Arabidopsis thaliana: one gene and its partners. Each later gene encodes a partner of the first gene's protein in a complex. Each region holds a gene or a part of one and is shown in the gene's direction. Other genes may lie near its edges. The genes, in order: CSN5B, CSN6B, CSN6A and FUS5.

Evidence for each region.
Region 2: the proteins of CSN5B (region 1) and CSN6B are in contact, whole or in part, in a cryo-EM structure (PDB 9IS6), measured with the Arabidopsis thaliana proteins. Residues at the interface, in NP_177279.1 of Arabidopsis thaliana: Asp30 (codon at 2,024), Phe33 (codon at 2,033), Tyr34 (codon at 2,036), Tyr35 (codon at 2,039), Ala63 (codon at 2,123), Leu64 (codon at 2,126), Leu66 (codon at 2,132), Leu67 (codon at 2,135), Lys68 (codon at 2,138), Val70 (codon at 2,144), Val71 (codon at 2,147), Arg74 (codon at 2,156), Asp98 (codon at 2,228), Ala101 (codon at 2,237), Leu102 (codon at 2,240), Pro103 (codon at 2,243), Tyr120 (codon at 2,294), Glu123 (codon at 2,303), Tyr124 (codon at 2,306), Thr127 (codon at 2,315), Asn128 (codon at 2,318), Leu130 (codon at 2,324), Ala131 (codon at 2,437), Gly132 (codon at 2,440), Arg133 (codon at 2,443), Leu134 (codon at 2,446), Thr179 (codon at 2,581), Val180 (codon at 2,584), Gly183 (codon at 2,593), Lys184 (codon at 2,596); in NP_567746.1 of Arabidopsis thaliana: Pro15 (codon at 2,242), Leu16 (codon at 2,245), Met18 (codon at 2,251), Leu19 (codon at 2,254), Asn20 (codon at 2,257), Ser22 (codon at 2,263), Asp23 (codon at 2,266), His24 (codon at 2,269), Phe25 (codon at 2,272), Thr26 (codon at 2,275), Arg27 (codon at 2,278), Thr30 (codon at 2,287), Gln31 (codon at 2,290), Pro35 (codon at 2,302), Glu78 (codon at 2,431), Ile80 (codon at 2,437), Phe92 (codon at 2,473), Lys95 (codon at 2,482), Lys96 (codon at 2,485), Leu99 (codon at 2,494), Tyr100 (codon at 2,497), Lys102 (codon at 2,583), Val103 (codon at 2,586), Pro144 (codon at 2,796), Ile146 (codon at 2,802), Asn147 (codon at 2,805), Gln150 (codon at 2,814), Lys151 (codon at 2,817), Asp152 (codon at 2,820), Leu153 (codon at 2,823).
Region 3: CSN5B (region 1) and CSN6A share a complex: the UniProt entries of both Arabidopsis thaliana proteins name them as parts of the CSN complex.
Region 4: CSN5B (region 1) and FUS5 share a complex: the UniProt entries of both Arabidopsis thaliana proteins name them as parts of the CSN complex.

Annotation. Positions count from the first base shown.
Region 1 is NC_003070.9:26,850,624-26,854,966, forward strand, and holds CSN5B (COP9-signalosome 5B), read left to right. Parts: upstream 1-1,782; 5' UTR 1,783-1,936; coding exon 1,937-2,326; intron 2,327-2,436; coding exon 2,437-2,718; intron 2,719-2,789; coding exon 2,790-2,937; intron 2,938-3,041; coding exon 3,042-3,127; intron 3,128-3,369; coding exon 3,370-3,447; intron 3,448-3,539; coding exon 3,540-3,632; 3' UTR 3,633-3,796; downstream 3,797-4,343. Other genes in the region: EBS1 (EMS-MUTAGENIZED BRI1 SUPPRESSOR 1), read left to right, coding at 59-199, 279-322, 395-509, 686-838, 913-1,107; AT1G71235 (uncharacterized protein), read left to right, coding at 3,936-4,182. UniProt on the Arabidopsis thaliana protein: Probable protease subunit of the COP9 signalosome complex (CSN), a complex involved in various cellular and developmental processes such as photomorphogenesis and auxin and jasmonate responses.
Region 2 is NC_003075.7:13,353,030-13,358,153, forward strand, and holds CSN6B (COP9 signalosome subunit 6B), read left to right. Parts: upstream 1-1,962; 5' UTR 1,963-2,199; coding exon 2,200-2,497; intron 2,498-2,577; coding exon 2,578-2,666; intron 2,667-2,753; coding exon 2,754-2,847; intron 2,848-2,942; coding exon 2,943-3,004; intron 3,005-3,094; coding exon 3,095-3,173; intron 3,174-3,264; coding exon 3,265-3,357; intron 3,358-3,547; coding exon 3,548-3,648; intron 3,649-3,777; coding exon 3,778-3,833; intron 3,834-4,215; coding exon 4,216-4,297; 3' UTR 4,298-4,566; downstream 4,567-5,124. Other genes in the region: WRKY34 (WRKY DNA-binding protein 34), read right to left, coding at 4,567-5,098. UniProt on the Arabidopsis thaliana protein: Component of the COP9 signalosome complex (CSN), a complex involved in various cellular and developmental processes such as photomorphogenesis and auxin and jasmonate responses.
Region 3 is NC_003076.8:22,782,835-22,787,121, reverse strand, and holds CSN6A (COP9 signalosome subunit 6A), read left to right. Parts: upstream 1-1,516; 5' UTR 1,517-1,591; coding exon 1,592-1,889; intron 1,890-1,978; coding exon 1,979-2,067; intron 2,068-2,153; coding exon 2,154-2,247; intron 2,248-2,446; coding exon 2,447-2,508; intron 2,509-2,627; coding exon 2,628-2,706; intron 2,707-2,787; coding exon 2,788-2,880; intron 2,881-3,013; coding exon 3,014-3,114; intron 3,115-3,206; coding exon 3,207-3,262; intron 3,263-3,423; coding exon 3,424-3,505; 3' UTR 3,506-3,738; downstream 3,739-4,287. Other genes in the region: PEX5 (peroxin 5), read right to left, coding at 1-62, 348-467; WRKY2 (WRKY DNA-binding protein 2), read right to left, coding at 3,985-4,287. UniProt on the Arabidopsis thaliana protein: Component of the COP9 signalosome complex (CSN), a complex involved in various cellular and developmental processes such as photomorphogenesis and auxin and jasmonate responses.
Region 4 is NC_003070.9:386,725-391,450, reverse strand, and holds FUS5 (Proteasome component (PCI) domain protein), read left to right. Parts: upstream 1-1,642; 5' UTR 1,643-1,882; coding exon 1,883-2,041; intron 2,042-2,149; coding exon 2,150-2,225; intron 2,226-2,312; coding exon 2,313-2,401; intron 2,402-2,510; coding exon 2,511-2,600; intron 2,601-2,690; coding exon 2,691-2,735; intron 2,736-2,841; coding exon 2,842-2,912; intron 2,913-3,044; coding exon 3,045-3,183; coding exon of another isoform or gene 3,184-3,228; exon of another isoform or gene 3,229-3,778; coding exon 3,779-3,867; intron 3,868-3,947; coding exon 3,948-3,972; 3' UTR 3,973-4,174; downstream 4,175-4,726. Other genes in the region: SBI1 (Leucine carboxyl methyltransferase), read right to left, coding at 188-235, 328-448, 587-689, 887-968, 1,052-1,099, 1,201-1,414, 1,508-1,575. UniProt on the Arabidopsis thaliana protein: Component of the COP9 signalosome complex (CSN), a complex involved in various cellular and developmental processes such as photomorphogenesis and auxin and jasmonate responses.

The DNA of each region.
Region 1 (4,343 bases):
CTTGCGATTTTGATGCTTGGAAGATGTCACTATAAGGTATTCGACATGTGTTCTGTAGGTTATATTTGTCGACGCAGATCAAATTATAAGGACAGACATGGGAGAACTGTATGATATGGATATTAAAGGAAGACCTCTCGCGTATACTCCTTTTTGTGACAACAACAGGGAAATGGATGGCTATAAATTTTGGAAACAGGTAAACATTAATCTTTTTGTTTTGCTTGTAGAGGTAGTTTTGGTTTCCATACTCTTACATTCTCAATTGCTTTGAACAGGGTTTCTGGAAAGAACATTTACGTGGTAGGCCATACCATATCAGGTAAAAAAACCTACTTGAACCTCAGTAAGTTGTTGCTTTTCCCATTCTTAATGTGCCTTGTTCTATCTGTAGTGCTCTATACGTTGTTGACTTGGTTAAGTTCCGAGAGACAGCGGCAGGAGATAATCTAAGAGTATTCTATGAGACGCTTAGCAAGGATCCAAACAGTTTGTCCAACCTAGATCAGGCAAGTTGTATAATATGGTTCTCTATACTTAGGGCTGTAACCTTTCTTTGGTGGTCACACTATCGTTTTACTTTATTTGAAAGGCTTTTGCATTTGACTCTTACCATACACCATGCTCTGAATCTTTAGAGTTCCAGGTTCAAACATATTGATGGCATGTCATTATTTTGTTTCAGGATCTTCCTAATTATGCTCAGCATACTGTTCCTATATTTTCACTTCCCCAAGAGTGGTTGTGGTGTGAATCCTGGTGTGGAAACGCCACAAAAGCCAAGGCCAGAACAATCGATCTTTGCAATAATCCCATGACAAAGGAACCAAAGCTTCAGGTAAAATGATGGCTTTCCTCATATCTACAACACTCACAAAGCGTTGTTTGTTATAATGCGGTGTTCTTCTGCAGGGTGCCCGAAGAATCGTAACCGAATGGCCCGATCTTGATCTCGAAGCACGAAAATTCACAGCAAAAATCTTGGGTGAAGATGTGGAACTCAACGAGCCAGTAGCTGCTCCTGCTACAGACAAGCCTAATCCTCTTCCATCAAATGACATCTCTGAAGATACAGAACAAGACTTGGAATCTAAAGCAGAACTGTAAATTCAATGCTCCTGAAGTTTCAAAAGAGGAGAAGATAAATTAGACAATCATGGCTATTTTGCATTTGCTAGATAAGGTTTCTAGTTTTGTAGCTACAGTTTCTTAGACATCTCTCACATAAATTAGACAGAAGATAAAGTCAACAGATTGCAGGAGAATAAGAATATCAGTATAATATGATTTTGAATCAATTACAAACATAGTCACTCATAACGTATTTGTAAACTCGTCCGTCCAAAATCTCAAATCAAACCAAACCGACAAACCAGTAAAAAAACCGAACCGGAAAACTGACGTGTCAGTGTCTGTATAAAAAGCAATACGTGTTCTTTTAGCAAAGGGTCTGACACTCTGATAGAAAAGCTGAAGTAATTCAATAAATTATTTTAGAAGAGGGAAGAAATCTACGGTTTTACAAGGGGACGTTATTTATTAATGGATTTTAATAGAAAGAAATCCAACACTAATACACTGTTATTTAATTAATGATTTTAAATTCAATTTTAAAATTTAGTGTTATTGGAGTTTATATCTTTGTAAATCATGTTTAATAGATTTTAAAATTTTGTGTTATTCAATTAAAAGATTTTAATACCGTCAAAAAAAAAAAAAAAAAAACAAACTAAAAGGATTTTAAATTTTATTTCTAAATTAGAGAAGAATCCAGAGGAATTAATTTTCACCACTTTTCTCTTCTTATATATAAGTCAATCCCCGAAGTAACATTTTTGACACAGTTTTCAATTCTTCAGCAGACAGATCGATCACACTCCATCGATTCCGTATGAAACCCTAGATTTCTGCAACTGAATTCCTAATTCGAAAAAGAATGGAGGGTTCGTCGTCGACGATAGCAAGGAAGACATGGGAACTAGAGAACAGCATTCTAACAGTAGACTCACCTGATTCAACCTCCGACAACATCTTCTACTACGACGATACTTCACAGACTAGGTTCCAGCAAGAGAAACCGTGGGAGAATGATCCTCACTACTTTAAACGAGTCAAGATCTCAGCGCTCGCTCTTCTTAAGATGGTGGTTCACGCTCGCTCTGGTGGTACAATTGAAATAATGGGTCTTATGCAAGGTAAGACCGATGGTGATACTATCATTGTTATGGATGCTTTTGCTTTACCAGTGGAAGGTACTGAGACAAGGGTTAATGCTCAGGATGATGCTTATGAGTACATGGTTGAGTATTCACAGACCAACAAGCTCGTAAGTGAGATTCAAGAAACTTCAAAGTTTTGATTTTTTTCTTTAGAAAGTTTGTATATAAGTCAGAACAGTTTGATTGATTATGGTTATAATAACTTGACCTTTATAAGGCGGGGCGGCTGGAGAATGTTGTTGGATGGTATCACTCTCACCCTGGATATGGATGCTGGCTCTCCGGTATTGATGTTTCTACGCAGAGGCTTAACCAACAGCATCAGGAGCCATTTTTAGCTGTTGTTATTGATCCCACAAGGACTGTTTCAGCTGGTAAGGTTGAGATTGGTGCTTTCAGAACATACTCTAAAGGATATAAGCCTCCAGATGAACCTGTTTCTGAGTATCAAACTATTCCTTTAAATAAGATTGAGGACTTTGGTGTTCACTGCAAACAGGTACATTTTCTTGATTTTTCTCGGTGCAAGGTCCCAACATGATTCTTATGTTTGGCTTTTGGTTTTGGCAGTACTATTCATTAGATGTCACTTATTTCAAGTCATCTCTTGATTCTCACCTTCTGGATCTACTATGGAACAAGTACTGGGTGAACACTCTTTCTTCTTCTCCACTGCTGGGTAATGGAGACTATGTTGCTGGACAAATATCAGACTTAGGTAAACTCTTGGATATGGCCTAAATCATTCACTCTTACTTTTTTTTCTCAAGTCACAGTCAAGTAATGTGTTATATAATCGTTTTCGTAATTTTACCAATGAAGCTGAGAAGCTTGAGCAAGCCGAGAGTCATCTGGTTCAGTCTCGCTTTGGAGGAGTTGTGCCATCATCCCTTCATAAGAAAAAAGAGGTATGTCCTAGTGGTTCATCAAATTTTAATTGCGATTACGGTGGCTAGTTAAGTGCCTCTGTAAACATCTAGCTACTAAGAGGATATATCTTCAAATGTTTTGGTTATTGGGACCTGGAGGTGTTCTGTTTAGTTGAAATGAAAGTGTTGTTGAAGGTTGTACAGATATATAACTTTCGAGAATGTTAATGGGTGTTGCTTGTTAAAGATCTCATTTGACGTGTGTTCTAAATCACTTTCAGGATGAGTCTCAACTAACTAAGATAACTCGGGATAGCGCAAAGATAACTGTGGAACAGGTCCATGGACTAATGTCGCAGGTGAGTAATAATATTGAAACGAAATGGTGACATATCTCCCTTAAGGTTCGTGTATTTCACAGACTCAAAATCCATCATTGTTGTACTTGTAGGTCATAAAAGATGAATTATTCAACTCAATGCGTCAGTCCAACAACAAATCTCCCACTGACTCGTCGGATCCAGACCCTATGATTACATATTGAAGTTGCTCTTCTTTTGGTTTCTAGTTTTGGATTGACCCATCATTTGTTGTCCTTTCATTTATTTTCTGTTGTGTAAAGAATTATAATGCTAATGAGAATAATACAGAAGAAGATTTTGGTTAAAGAAATGTTTTTAAGCCCATTCGATTCGTCGGGGTTAAAGGAATAATCTTAAGCCCTTAAACAAAAATTGTATTTATGGAAATCAGAAACCTAGTGATCTTTTCCAACTCTATCCCCTCTCTCTTTCCTTCTCTGCACTCACGTTGTCCGTGAATAGGTGGTACTAAAACATGGCTAACAATGGCAATCATCTTTCTCTGTCTTTGTTTGTTGATGAAAAGTGTTCCTTATGGGACTGTCGACGACGACGCCCACAAGGAGCTATGTACTGCCAACCTGACCATCTTCAACAAGCTTATCAAGAACGCACTTCACACAACATGGCAAACTTATACACTTGAAGACGTAGTATTGCGGAGAATCTTAGAAAGCCTTAGTTATCCGGAGCTTCGTGGAAGTCCGGGGATACCAAACCTTCAAGAAAACAGTCAGTTATTGTCTATAGCTCCGCACGGATATGTTTCCTACAAATTTGACATGTAGCGAGAAACATAGCATATGGCTGTTTCTCGCGCTGTTCGTGCCCGACCAAGGGGTTTGGAAACTGGTTAAAGAACGGCATCGAAGGAACTATGTACGTGATAAATT
Region 2 (5,124 bases), on another chromosome or scaffold:
ATTATACTTATATGGGTTATAGCGTGAAAAAAAGAAACATCTACTTTAAGCAACAGCAGAAAGCATTAAAGAATAGATAACCCCAATTTCCGAGAGGAACGTTAGGAGAAAGTTTTTGAAAATTTACAAAACTTTCTGTTAGTAGATGCTTAATTTCATCAGTGTTTTCCAAGCAATTTTGAATTAAGGATTAATAAAATTGTTATGTATATTATGAAATAATGAAGATATTTCGCTATCTCTAGAGTCTAAAGAGATTAGCAGTTGGTGCCTTGGTGGTTGACAAAAGAAAAGAAGAAGAGATTAGCAGTTGCGTTTAACATTGGTTTTATCTAGAAAGATGAACTGATGGTTACATATAAAACTAGTCGTTGTCTGTCAGTGTCCACTAAAGACTATTTTCTTCTTTTGATATACATTTCTAAATATACAACAATATCATTTCTCCGAGGTTTGTGAATTGTTTAGGTATAAAATAGTTTTCTACAATAACTTTTGCTATCGGGTGCAAAGACATTCTACCATAGAACGAGTTTAGTATAGTGTCATTTCGTAGATTCTTTATTCGGATTGGTTTTTCAATATCAACAAAATTCTGGTTCATTTTCTTCCCTCCTATAAACGAAGGTAAAAAGAATGAAGAAAAAAGAAAAGAAAGAATATTTTGTTAATGCATTATCTAACGTGTTAATGTGTCACTTTCATTTTTCTTAATCGTTTGTTGAAAACTTTTTGCAGTTGATTTCAGGAAAACGGAACACACATATATATATATATATGTCTTTTATTTTCAATACGGACCAAATCCATCATTTGCTAATCAGTGAGAAAACTAAATCGTGGTCTACTAGTTTATATAAATTGAAAAAAGAATCATAAATAATATGTCACATATCCAACCTAAAGATTTATGTCTATACATGTAAAAATGTAAATGAGCATATTCCCAAATTTCCCACAAGTATATAGCACTACCTACACTCACGCTTCTTCAAAGTGAAGGCGATGGTGGAAAAAAGCGTAGACGATGACTTGATAAGATTGACTGAAGAAAAGAAAAAAAGTTATCATAAGTCAAAAAGCATGTCGTTAGAGTTTGACGAGATCCCATGCATGATTATATTGTCGGATACAATTGTTTGAACAATACGGTTGGAAAAATCTACCGTAATATGAAGACTTGAATGACATAACTAAAGATTGTACCTTGCAAGCCAGCAATGTGTTAATGATATGAGTAAGGGTGCAGAGGCTGCGGCTGGTGGCTACTGGCTAGTGATAAGCAATTTACGATGTAATGACAGATATATCATAGGAGACTAGGAGTTATATATGGTATATATAGAATCTAAAATAACATATTTATCAATTTACTATATTAAGTTTTATGGTTCCAAACTCAAAACTAATTGTTTATGAGTAGATTTGGTTTATATACTGTATATTACTCATATTCTATTTCCACTTTTAATGTGGGATTTCTCATAAACTATATACAGTTATATTTTTAATTAATGAAATAACAATAATACAGATTTAAATGTAGCCTTAACTATTTTTATGAAATTTAAATGAAATTTAATTTAAAAGATTGCATTCAGAATACAAAACTGTAATATTCTGTAAAATATTGATAGGTACTACTTACAACATAGGAAACATATTTAAAGATATGTTATATAAACTAAAAATAGTTTAAAATATCAATATATATATATATATATATATATATTACGAAAAGAAGAATTAAAACAGACTACACACATAATAAAATTTTAATAGTAACACTTACAAACATATCCAATAATATTAAATAAAATTAATTCATTATGATCTTTATGTTATTTCTATATACTCAAACCAAAAAAAAAGAAGTAAATGATTCAAAATCCAATCATAATTATTTTTCAAATTCATTAAAATACAAGAAATTTCATATTAAAAAAATAGATATTTCTTTCAAAGATTTATATTCAAATTATAAATATATACTAAAACGCTAAAAAATTAAGTACATGCTATAATCTTTTCCATTATTTTTCTAACAAAAGAAAGTTATATATGGGCTAAACTTAGAAGGAAAGCCCAAGAGGCCAAGACTATATAAAGATTCATGACCCGAGTTTAAGATCCGATTTCAGAATTTGGGACTAAAGGAGGACAACGACAAGCGCCGGGAAAAAATCGAGAGCGACAACAATGGCGCCTTCTTCGTCGAGCGGTCTCACGTTCAAGCTACATCCTCTGGTGATGCTTAACATATCCGATCACTTCACTAGGGTTAAAACTCAGCTTAATCCTCCCGCCGCTTCTTGCGCCACCGGGAATGGCTCCAACAACGCCGACGCGATGTTACTGCAAAACCCTAGGGTTTATGGCTGCGTCATCGGTCTCCAGAGAGGTCGTACGGTTGAGATCTTCAACAGTTTCGAGCTGATATTCGATCCTGCTCTTGATACTCTCGACAGATCCTTCCTCGAGAAGAAGCAAGAACTCTGTAAGTTTACTTACACTCGCTCACTTTTGTTGTCGATTGTTTGATACTCTTGCTAATTTGTGAGTTTTGTTATTTTTTAGATAAGAAGGTGTTCCCTGACTTCTACGTATTGGGATGGTATTCTACGGGAAGTGACGCTACCGAATCTGATATGCATATCCACAAAGCTGTGAGTAGTGTAGCTTTAATGTTTAATATAAATTTAATTGAATTTAGGATTCTCATTGTACTGATTTGTTGAGGTTTTCATCTACAGCTGATGGACATTAATGAATCTCCTGTGTATGTTCTTTTAAATCCTGCTATCAATCATGCACAGAAGGATCTTCCTGTGACTATCTACGAAAGCGGTAAAAATTGGTTATTTGCATCACTGATTGTCTTATTGTTTTATAGATTATAATCTTGCTAATCCTGTCTTTTTGATTGTTTTCAAAATTTGAAGAATTTCATGTCATTGATGGAATTCCTCAGTCGATTTTCGTGCATACCAGCTACACAATTGAGGTATGTGTTTAGGCCACTTGATCTGTAATCTATCTATGTGATATGAGAGTGGACTTTCAATAACATTGCAATGATTGTAAACGCGTGCAGACAGTTGAAGCTGAAAGAATATCTGTTGATCATGTTGCACATCTTAAGCCATCTGATGGAGGCTCAGCTGCGACTCAGTGTAAGCTTTATTATCACTTCATATTTATCATAATCTGTTCTTTCTTTTTCATCTGCATGGAATTTTAGGTTGATTCCTCGATTTTGTGCAGTGGCTGCTCATCTTACTGGAATACATAGTGCCATCAAGATGCTTAATAGCAGAATCAGAGTGCTATACCAGCATATTGTCGCTATGCAGAAAGGTATATTCTTGCTCAAGTCCCCACTCTCGGTCCCTCTTCAATTTGTTAATCAAGCTTTTGTGACCTGTCCCTTGATCTTAGAATATTTCTATGTGTTTTCCTACGGGGAAGAAAGAATTAAAAGGGTGTTAGAAGATGATTTTGAGCAAGAGTAATGTGGTACTAATGACTTATGTGATTCTGCATCTAGGTGATAAACCTTGTGAGAACTCAGTTCTGAGACAAGTATCTAGTCTGCTCAGAAGTTTGCCTGCCGCAGAATCAGAGAAGTTCAATGAAAATTTCTTGATGGTAAGTAGTACCTTACCTTTTTCTAGCAATGTTGGTTAAATAAAGTGGCCTTCGAATCTCTTAAATTCTTAATGTAGCTTGTTGTTGTGAATGATATCTTTATAAATATGATGTTCTCTTCTTTTGCAGGAGTACAACGACAAATTGCTGATGTCTTACCTAGCAATGATCACGAATTGTACCAGGTATGTGCTCGACACGCTATTCCATTTAACTATTTGAATAAAAGAATGATGGACATGCATGCAAATCTTTTGCTTGATACAATGCAATGTTTTACGATACCAAGACAGATGAAATCACCAGTACTTGGTTGAGGCTGACATTGAGATAGTTTGTTTTATTTAGATTAAGAACTAAATCTAGGACCTTGCTCAATTATCCTTGTTATAATTAAGATACTGAGCCTGTAGTAGCTAAGGGAATATAAGCTTCTTTTTAAAAAAAAAATCTAATCTTGTGCTACACCTTGACCAATCCATATGTCAATTTCATTCCAACGAAATGTCCTGAAAGAATCCTTTGTATATTTGATCTCTTACTCTCCTTTTTCCCCCCAAAATGCAGCAACATGAACGAGGTGGTTGACAAATTCAACACTGCATACGACAAACACAGCCGAAGAGGTGGTAGGACTGCGTTCATGTAAAGATTAGTTTCAATGTAAAAAAACCTTTTCTTTCTTTTGGTGGTCTGGTCCCTAAGTGAAAATTTAGAACTCTTTTAAGGCATTTCACTTTTCGGAACCAAACAAACAGCTAGGAAGCTTTTCTTCTGTTTAAGCTTTGTCTAGACAGAAGCTAAGTTTAGGCCTAACTAAATTTTGCGACAAGACTGTAAAAACAAAACAGCTTTTACCTTCTCTCAATTTTTCATTTATTCAAAAATTTGAGCAATCAGTGAACAAAGAGATTTGTTTCATATCTGTCGTAATCTACTCAACATCTCTCTGCATATCAATGAGCTCGCTGACAAATCAAGTCCCTGTTGTGGTGACACTGGTTCCACCTTCGGCTGTGCTGCTAACTGCAACATTAGGCCAGTTGGATCCCCAATGTCAGGCGCCTGCAGGCTGGTAAGCTTCTCTTGCCCAATAGTTAGACCAGGCATTGAAAGATCAGAAAGCTCAGATTGGCCTATGTAAACGGAGAAACCTGTAGGATGCCTCAGGTGTGACTGGAAGTCAAATAGAGATGAGTTGGCTGTGGCCAGTCCCTCAGATCTACTGTGTGGCATTGGATAGTGCACATTGTGGTTGTGGGTCTGAGTCGCTAAACTGCCTTGGAGAGTCCCTGAACTGCCTGCACCGACGTGGCTGCTGTTGCGTGCTGCTGGTACAACGTGGGTGTGCTTGCCTATATAAGTTGTTAGTACGCTCTTGAAGTCATCAGAGGCTCTCTCTACATGCTTCGTTACGGTACATCCATTAGCTGTGCATTTATAGTAGCTCCTGAAAACATAGAAAACTGATTTTAT
Region 3 (4,287 bases), on another chromosome or scaffold:
TCAGAGTAAAATTGTGGCCGAGGACCTGACCGGTTTGCATTAGGTATCTCCTTGAGCCTTTCCTGCACAACAAATCACCAATCATCAACATTTCTTCAAATTCTCAGGAAATTTTAAACCTTTAAACAATTGTCAGCCAAATCACTTGACATAATCGAAGAACGTCTAAAACCCTAACACTACGGAAAGAAAAATCGAAACTTGGCAAGCAAATAACAAAACCCAACGAAAAATGAGATCTAATTCGACTTCTTAGTTCCAGGAGAACCAAGGAAAAGGCGAAGAATGGAATCAGGAGACTTCAAATGTCAACACTGTTTCGATCAAAAAGGAATCAGGAAGCTAACCTGGGTTTTGGAAGACGAACCAAGTAAAGCGTTGGTGAGAGCTCCGAGAGGATTAGAAGAAGAAGACGAACCAGGAACGGCACAAGCGGCTCCGCCGTTAACAAGGTCTCTCATCGCCATGTTTCCAACGGGTTTCTACTCCTCCGCCGCAATCACCGTCGTTGAATCTATCAGTATGGTTTCCTCCGTTGTCCGGAATTGATCATCAACCTCCCAAATCCTAATCTTTAGTTTGGCTCGTCTCGTGGCGGTGTTTTTTTTGTTTGTTGTGTTTGGTCACAGCTTCGTAAGAAATTATTAAATTTTTTGATAGTATTTTGGTAATTAATATTTATATATTATCCACACCACACACATTTTTAGGCTCACCAACACATTTTTGTTTAGTTATTTATTTTTGTGAAAAAACCGTTTTTTACAGTATCCGTAATTAAAAATGAATTGTTGTGAATATAGTTTTTTTTTATCTTTCTTTATCAAGATATGTTTTATCTTTTTGTCCGATTTGCTGCCACTTTTGAATTTTGTAGTTTCCTATTAGTGTTGAATTATATTTGCTTGATCATACCAAAGATAAATAAATTATATTGCTTGATTTTTGCTGGGTTTAGTTATATTTCTTGATTGATTGTGCAATGCGTTACAAACGAAGGTAGATTCTACTCTTGTACTCATATCACACATTTGGACGACCAACATGACTTCACTAATTTCATCAATAACTAAAAAAAAAAAAAAAATTCATCTACATCAACAATAGTTACAATATGCTAGGCATCTCTAGATTTTTTTTTCCTTTCATTAACTTGCAAGAATTTACACACTAGAAATCAAACATTTTGTGGAAAAAATTATAACCTTTAGTCTAACCACTGAACTATTGAACTTTCATATTGAAAAATTTGATGAATGTTGTCTGTTTTCAAATTTCTAGTACATTTTTTGTCAACTTCAGATATCTGATTTTATGAGTCTCAATCGTTTGGTTTATCTTATTTTCGTTTGTTAATTAATATAATTAGTTTCCAAAATGAAAAAATGTAATTGGAAAAACAAGTCATGAGGCCCAACCGCATATATAAGTCCTACGCTCGGCCCATACAGAAAAAACTAATATCCATATAGTTGACCCGGAAGACCCGATCTAGGATCCGAATCCACATTGATTTAAATAAAAAAAATCTTCATAAAAAAACTAAAAACCCAAAAACCAAAGAATTCATCAAAGGAGAGAGAGATCGACAATGGCACCTTCGTCATCAAGCGGTTTAACCTTCAAGCTACATCCTTTGGTAATCGTCAACATATCGGATCACTACACTAGGGTCAAAACTCAGCTCAATCCTCCTGCTTCAATCTGCGCAAGCGGCCATGGCTCAAACAACGGCGAAGCAATGTTCCAGCAAAACCCTAGGGTTTACGGATGTGTGATCGGTGTCCAGAGAGGTCGTACTGTTGAGATATTCAACAGTTTCGAGCTTTTATATGATCCTTCTACTCAAACCCTTGATAGATCTTTCCTCGAGAAGAAGCAAGAGCTCTGTAAGCTAAAGCTCACTCTTTTTATTCTCAACTATTGATGCAATCGTAAATTAAAGTTTGAACTTTTATCTGGTTTTATTGTTTATTAGATAAGAAGGTGTTCCCTGATTTCTATATTCTGGGATGGTACTCTACGGGAAGTGATGCTGAGGAATCTGATATGCATATCCATAAAGCTGTGAGTCCAATGCTCTCTCTAGTATTTTTGTATAATTGAGATTTGGTCTCTAAAAGTGTGGTTTTTGTGTCTGCTCTTGGTGACAGTTGATGGATATCAATGAATCTCCTGTTTATGTGCTTTTAAACCCTGCTATCAATCACACACAGAAGGATCTTCCAGTGACTATTTATGAAAGTGGTATGCTTCTTATAATGTCATATGGTTCTGTGGGTACATTCTGATATGTTAGCATGTTAGTATAGGTATATGCGTAGTTCAGAGTTTCTAGATATCTTCCCAAGTCTTTATCTTTATTGACTTCCAGATTTAGGTCAGATTGTTTTACAAGATCCTAACTTTTCTCTTTGTTTCATTGATTGATCTTCATTACTTGAAGAATTGCATGTCATTGATGGAATCCCGCAGCTAATTTTCGCTCATACAAGCTACACAATCGAGGTCTGTGCTTAAGTTTGATTCTGCAAATAATTTTTTTTTTTTTTGTCAAACATTCTGCAATTTAATCTATGTTATGAAAGTGTACATTGACTAAGATTTTGAGGTGTTATACAATGTAGACAGTTGAAGCTGAACGGATATCAGTTGATCATGTTGCACATCTTAAACCATCTGACGGAGGCTCAGCAGCAACCCAGTGTGAGCCTTATGTCACTAATACATATCATACTCCACTTCCTGAGTCTTACTGTTTTTGGCTGATTATTCGTTCATATGCAGTGGCTGCTCATCTTACTGGTATACATAGTGCCATCAAGATGCTTAATAGCAGAATCAGAGTGCTTTACCAAAATCTTGCTGCAATGCAGAAAGGTATATTCTGTTCTTTCCCAAGTTCCGATTCTTATCACCGTGGTTTCATGTTTACCAGTCCAGGATTCTAGCTGAAGATAGTCAAAGTTGTGTAAGTGTAATAATTTATCTGCCAACTCATTTATGTGTGTAGGTGATAAATCTTGTGACAACTCAGTTCTGAGACAAGTATCTAGCCTGCTAAGAAGATTGCCTGCCATGGAATCAGAGAGATTTCAAGATAATTTCTTGATGGTGAGTTAGTTAGATCTGCACTTGATTCTTTTCAGTGTAGCTTATTGTCTGAGATATTTCGCAACTTATGCTGGCATTTTTTCTTTTTGCAGGAGTACAACGACAAATTACTAATAACTTACCTAGCGATGATTACAAATTGTTCCAGGTTTGTACCTAATGCAACATTCTAAAGTATTTGAAAGCAAGTATATAGGCTAGCGAATGCTCTTTAACTAGTGGTTCTTTAGGAACTGTGAAAGATACGGTTTTCACCGGGCTGGTGGATTCTGTTATATCAGTTAATAATTTTGTTTGCTCAATCTGCAGCAACATGAACGAGATGGTCGACAAATTCAACACCGCATATGACAGAAACACTCGAAGAGGTGGAAGAACTGCATTCATGTAAAAGATCCTTTCCAGCGATTCTAGTTCTAAAGATCTTCTCTTGGTTCCTGAAACCATTTTTAACATTGCCTCTGTGAGAATCTATAACTCAGACGGCAAGACTTTATCCTCTTCATTGTTTCTATATCTATAAGAACATCTGCTTATCTATCAAAGCTCTTGTTTGATCTTGAACAAGTTTCTATTGTTAGTAAAAAGATTTTAAGGTTTGATTCTATCAGTCTCTCTAGTTACATCCACATCAGTCTCCAGTTAGCAATTGCAGTATTGCTACACAACACTCACTTTTTTCTTCTTTGTTGATTTCAATATAAGATAAAGAACCAGTAAAAAAGAAGACAAAACCAAGGAATGAACAATAAAACAGCCTTTACCTTCCCCAAAGTTTGAAACCAATAAATGAAAGAAGAAGAAGAAGCAGAAATTAAAAGTTATTATAAGGAGTGACCAAATGCAGAAGAAGAAGAAGAAGAGTAAATTTCAAATCTGAGGTAATCTACTCATGATCTGGTTATATACCGATTGTCCTGAATCTGAAACCGGTTCAACCTTTGGTTCCATCCCTCTCTGCATCATTGCTTCACTCATCCCAACCGGTTGTGTCATATACGGGTGAGGCAAACCCGGCATTTTCCCTTGACCATACGCTAAACCAGGCATTGAAAGATTAACCAAACCGGTTTGTCCTAAACCGAAGGAGAAACCAGAAGGAGGACCCAAATGTGGCTGAAAGCTAAAGGGACGGCTAAAAGGAGACTGATTGTTAGTTGTGACTTGTCTGTC
Region 4 (4,726 bases), about 26 Mb from region 1:
ACAGAAACACCGTTAAGCTTTCAGAACAAGTTTAAATGAAGGTAATTGATCAGTACAACATGAACCCATGTGGCAATACTAGAATATTTTAGTGTCATACTAGTATCCATATTTTGACAAAAATCTCAAAAAAGCTTTACTAATGAAGATGTCGCTGTAACTAGAGTAGTAGAGTACACGTTCTTACCTCCAAATTTCTAATCATTTGATGCCCAAATGCATCATCTGGATGGATCTGCAAACAGAAACCCAACGGGTTAGACACATAAGCAATAAGATTCGTATCTGCAATATTATGCAGACAAGGAAAATCACAGTTGAGCTAACCTGCTCATATAAGAAAAATACTGCAGTTGAAAACGTTTTTGACGACCAATTGACGATGGCACGGCTTGAATCGGGGTCCAGATAAATCAAAACACATTCTGCAATAATAAACGTCGGCAGACTGATAATGATATTAGGGATCAAGTAGGTCTATCACCAGTAAGTATCTGTTACCATATATCTTAAACCCGGGTAGAAGAAGAGGGTTGAAGGTTCAAGATAACAGTGTGTAAAATAAATAAAAATTATTCATGGATACCTTAGATCCATATCTGCAAAGGATATAACATCTCTTAATTTTGGTATATCGCGCAGGTCAACTGGAAGTAACTTGTAATGATCACTGAGAACTTGTCCTTCGTCTGTAGAGATAAACAGCCCAACGAGTTAAGAGTAAGCAACTGAAACTAGACGCTAACGGTACAAAGTAAAAGGGGGTGGTTGAGTTAGTAGCTAGTAGAAGCGGAATGAAGAAAAATATGAGTGCACAAGCTGAAATGCATCATAATGAAAAGGATCATTCTACATAATAATACATGGGGGGAAAAAAGGCTCTTACCAATAGAAATAGATGCATTGGCTCCTAGTTTGTCCCTGAGTTGGCTGGAGTTTTGTATAACAGCAGCCTTCTTGCTAGTCACCTAACGTAAGAAGCAAATCCATTTAGGCATTAGACTCAAAACACATGATGGATACTTTTGTCAGCACGCTCATCCAGTAGTACCTCCTTAAAATCAAGTTCCACATAGAGATTGGGCCCATTCCCCTCATCCTACAAAATGAGAAGAGAAGAAGCGAGAGATCCCTGGAATAAGCCGAAGAATGGTGAATTTGGTAAAAGCTAACAAAAAGGAGAAGAAAAAGAAGACGCACCAGCAACTGAAAATAGGTAGTATCAAAGCCAGCTCCGAGAGACAGTATCTGTTTCTTAGAACTTGTCCCGCTTAGAAGAAACTGAGACATAAGCTTTCGGAAGGCAGCCCAACGGGAAAAGTAACCTCGATTAATGATGGGAGATCTTCGAACAGGTCTTTTCACAAAGAGATGAACATAGTCGTCTTTCATATATCCCTTTTTGACACAAGACCTTTAAAAATATTATCTAGGCTCAAAGATCCACAACAACAACAAAAAAAAAAGAAGAGCCCTAATTAAAGAAGAGAGAAAGAGGTAGGCGTACAATTTACTGGCGGATGCATCGTCGTTAGTAGCCTGAACCGCCGCTCTGTTGCTGCGAGATTCCGCCATCGTCGTCGCTCTCTCAGCCAAAATGAAGGAAGAAGAATATTCAATAGTCTCTCTCTTCCCCGGGATTGTTTGGGCTCACCAGACGCGGTTTCTAATATTTCTCTTAGTAGGCCTTGGCCCAGAAACTACGAAATTTGAGCCCAATTATTAAACAAGATTCTAGAAGAATTCGGTCGGTCACATAAAAAAAACAGTAATATAAAAACGGAAGAAGGAAGGAGCAGAGAGAAGAAGTTTGGGATTTTATTCGTTATTAGTGTGGTAAGAAAGAAAACCCTAAACCACCGGAAATCGATTTGTTTGGAAGATGGATATCGAGCAGAAGCAAGCCGAGATCATTGATCAGCTCGTGAAGCGAGCTTCTACTTGCAAATCCGAGGCTCTGGGCCCGCTCATCATCGAAGCCACATCGCATCCTTCTCTCTTCGCCTTCTCCGAGATTTTGGCTCTACCCAATGTTGCCCAGGTACTACTACTTTATGCTTTTCACGATCTAGGGTTTTACATGCTTTTGTTCTTCGCTGATCATAACAACTTGATAGATACTAGTAGCTGATTAATCGTAATTGTGCAGCTTGAAGGAACCACAGATTCTGTGTACCTGGATCTACTACGCTTGTTTGCCCATGGCACCTGGGGAGACTACAAATGTATGACCCCTTTGTCATATGCTATTTCAATTCGTTTTCCCTTTTGTCATATTCTCTCCTCTTGACTTGCTTTCATCGAAACACTAGGCAATGCCACCCGTCTTCCGCACTTGTCCCCTGACCAAATTCTTAAGCTTAAGCAGCTCACTGTCCTCACCCTTGCTGAGTCTAACAAGGTATATTTGTCTTAGGTTCATGATTTGCTCCTGCTATCTACTCTGTTCCATTATCTTTTTCCCCTGCTGTTTGCCTAACTGAATGTCTCTCTCACTCTGCTTGTTATAGGTATTGCCCTATGATACACTAATGGTCGAGTTAGATGTTTCCAATGTTCGCGAACTCGAGGACTTTCTTATCAATGAATGCATGTATGCGGTGAGTACTCTTTAGCAGTCTTCTAATCTCTATTTGACAACTAACTGTGACAACGCATGGTGCTCATTTTTTTTCTTTTACACTTTGCAGGGTATAGTTAGGGGAAAACTGGATCAGTTAAAAAGATGTTTTGAGGTGTGTTTTGGTTTGGGCCTCCTTTTCCTATTTTAACCATTGTGCTTTGTTTCTAAACGTACGAGCCCCCCCTTCTAAACATCATATATCTCTTGCAACCATGCAGGTTCCGTTTGCAGCTGGTAGGGATCTAAGGCCAGGTCAACTAGGGAATATGTTACACACATTGTCCAACTGGTAGTTTTCTTCTTCCCTTAGATCCAGGATTTTTTGCCTTCTATATCTAATTATAAGAACTTGTACGTGATGTTAGAATACATGGCTAATGACGTCCTACTCTTTTATGTGTTGGCCCAAATTGATGTCTAGGTTGAACACGTCAGAGAATCTGCTCATTTCAATTCAAGACAAGATCAAATGGGCGGACAATATGAGTGAGATGGACAAAAAACATCGTAAGGAAGCAGAAGAAGGGGTGGAAGAAGTGAAGAAGTCTCTGTCCATGAAGGTCAGTCGCGCTTGGAGTCCTATTGGCTTCACTTTTCCCTACTAAGTATATTATGTAACTAATATTGGTTACATTCTTTCTTGGTTACTGTCTTGTGACCATGAGTTAGAGTCCAGTCAGCTATTCTGTCTTATATTTCTTCAGAGAATTGTAGTGGGTTTCTTCTTATTAATAGCTTAGGTCTATGTAAGCGGGGATGGGAGAGACTTGATAAAAAAATCTTTCTAGGTCTTTGAGCTTTCCAAGTCCAGTCCTATCATAGATTAAAAAGTTATGTTTCTTAATAACAAACGAATCGATCAGCCAACTGTGGCGGGCTTTTTTAACCGTTCTTTCGTGGAACAAGAAATCTTACATGTTGGATGTAAACATATATTATGAAGTTTTCTTTAATTAAAAACAAACAAGGAACGCAATCACAACGGCTGTTAGTGAAGTGTTAAAGTCATTAGAGGACATGAATTGTTTGGAATGGTAGTACTTGGTTATTGTCTGATTGTTAAATGAAATGAAACAAGGTTCGTTTGGTTTTTTGTGTCTGAAATATGATTGGGAAGGGTGGTGGTCGATATAGTCTTACTTACGTTGTGGGCAGGGGGATGTTGACATCAGAGGGAATAAGGAGATGTTTGGGGAACCAAGTGGAGTGATGGACTACGAAGAAGATGGGATCCGACCAAAGAGGTAACGAATATTAGATATGAGTGAGATGATAAGTACAAAGGAGATGATATAACATACACACATTCAACTTTGGAACGCAGGAGGAGGCATCCTGTAACAAGGTAGAGGAGCAAGAGAGAGCAAATGGTCAGTGCGGATTGACATTCCATTTACCGAGAGTAGATTATGATTATTTGGTTGCGGATTTTCAACTTGTATAAGATCCTCTGTTCTCTCTCACAATAACCCCTTGTTATGTTTGATTTCCCTCATTAGCAAATTTGGTGTCTCTCTGCCCATTAAAAGAAAAATGGCTTTGAATTTAGTATTCAGTAATCAATAGTCTTGACACTTGAGCAAAGCTAGGCGCTTGGATCATATGGAATGATACAGATATTCTCAGTGTTCCGTCTTTTGACCACTAGCCAGCGCCTTGGCCCCTCACATGTTGAAACCTGCTTAGTCTGCGACAGCTGCCTCTTAGGCGGGCATGAAAGTGTTGTTTATTACGTCATCGACTAGATCCCACCATCGGAATTCTGACCGAAACATGTTCCTGAGAACGTTATACAAAGTACTAGTAGTCTAGTACTATATGATGACAATCCCTGCCGATTTCTCACACTCCCTCAGCATAATCATAATCTCTTTCAGTGTTTATGGTCATGTTTTATGACCATGAAAACACAATCCCCGCCGATTTCTCAAACATGTTTTCACCTAACTAATTCTCAAACAGACCCTTAAGAGCAAGGATAAAGGAATAATAGTGTTTTTTTTTTTTGTAATTAGAAAACATGTTTGTGAATCTTGAAGTTAAATAAATAAACTAAGACTCCTAAAATCTCTCCTACTGTATGTATAATTGTTACAACATAAT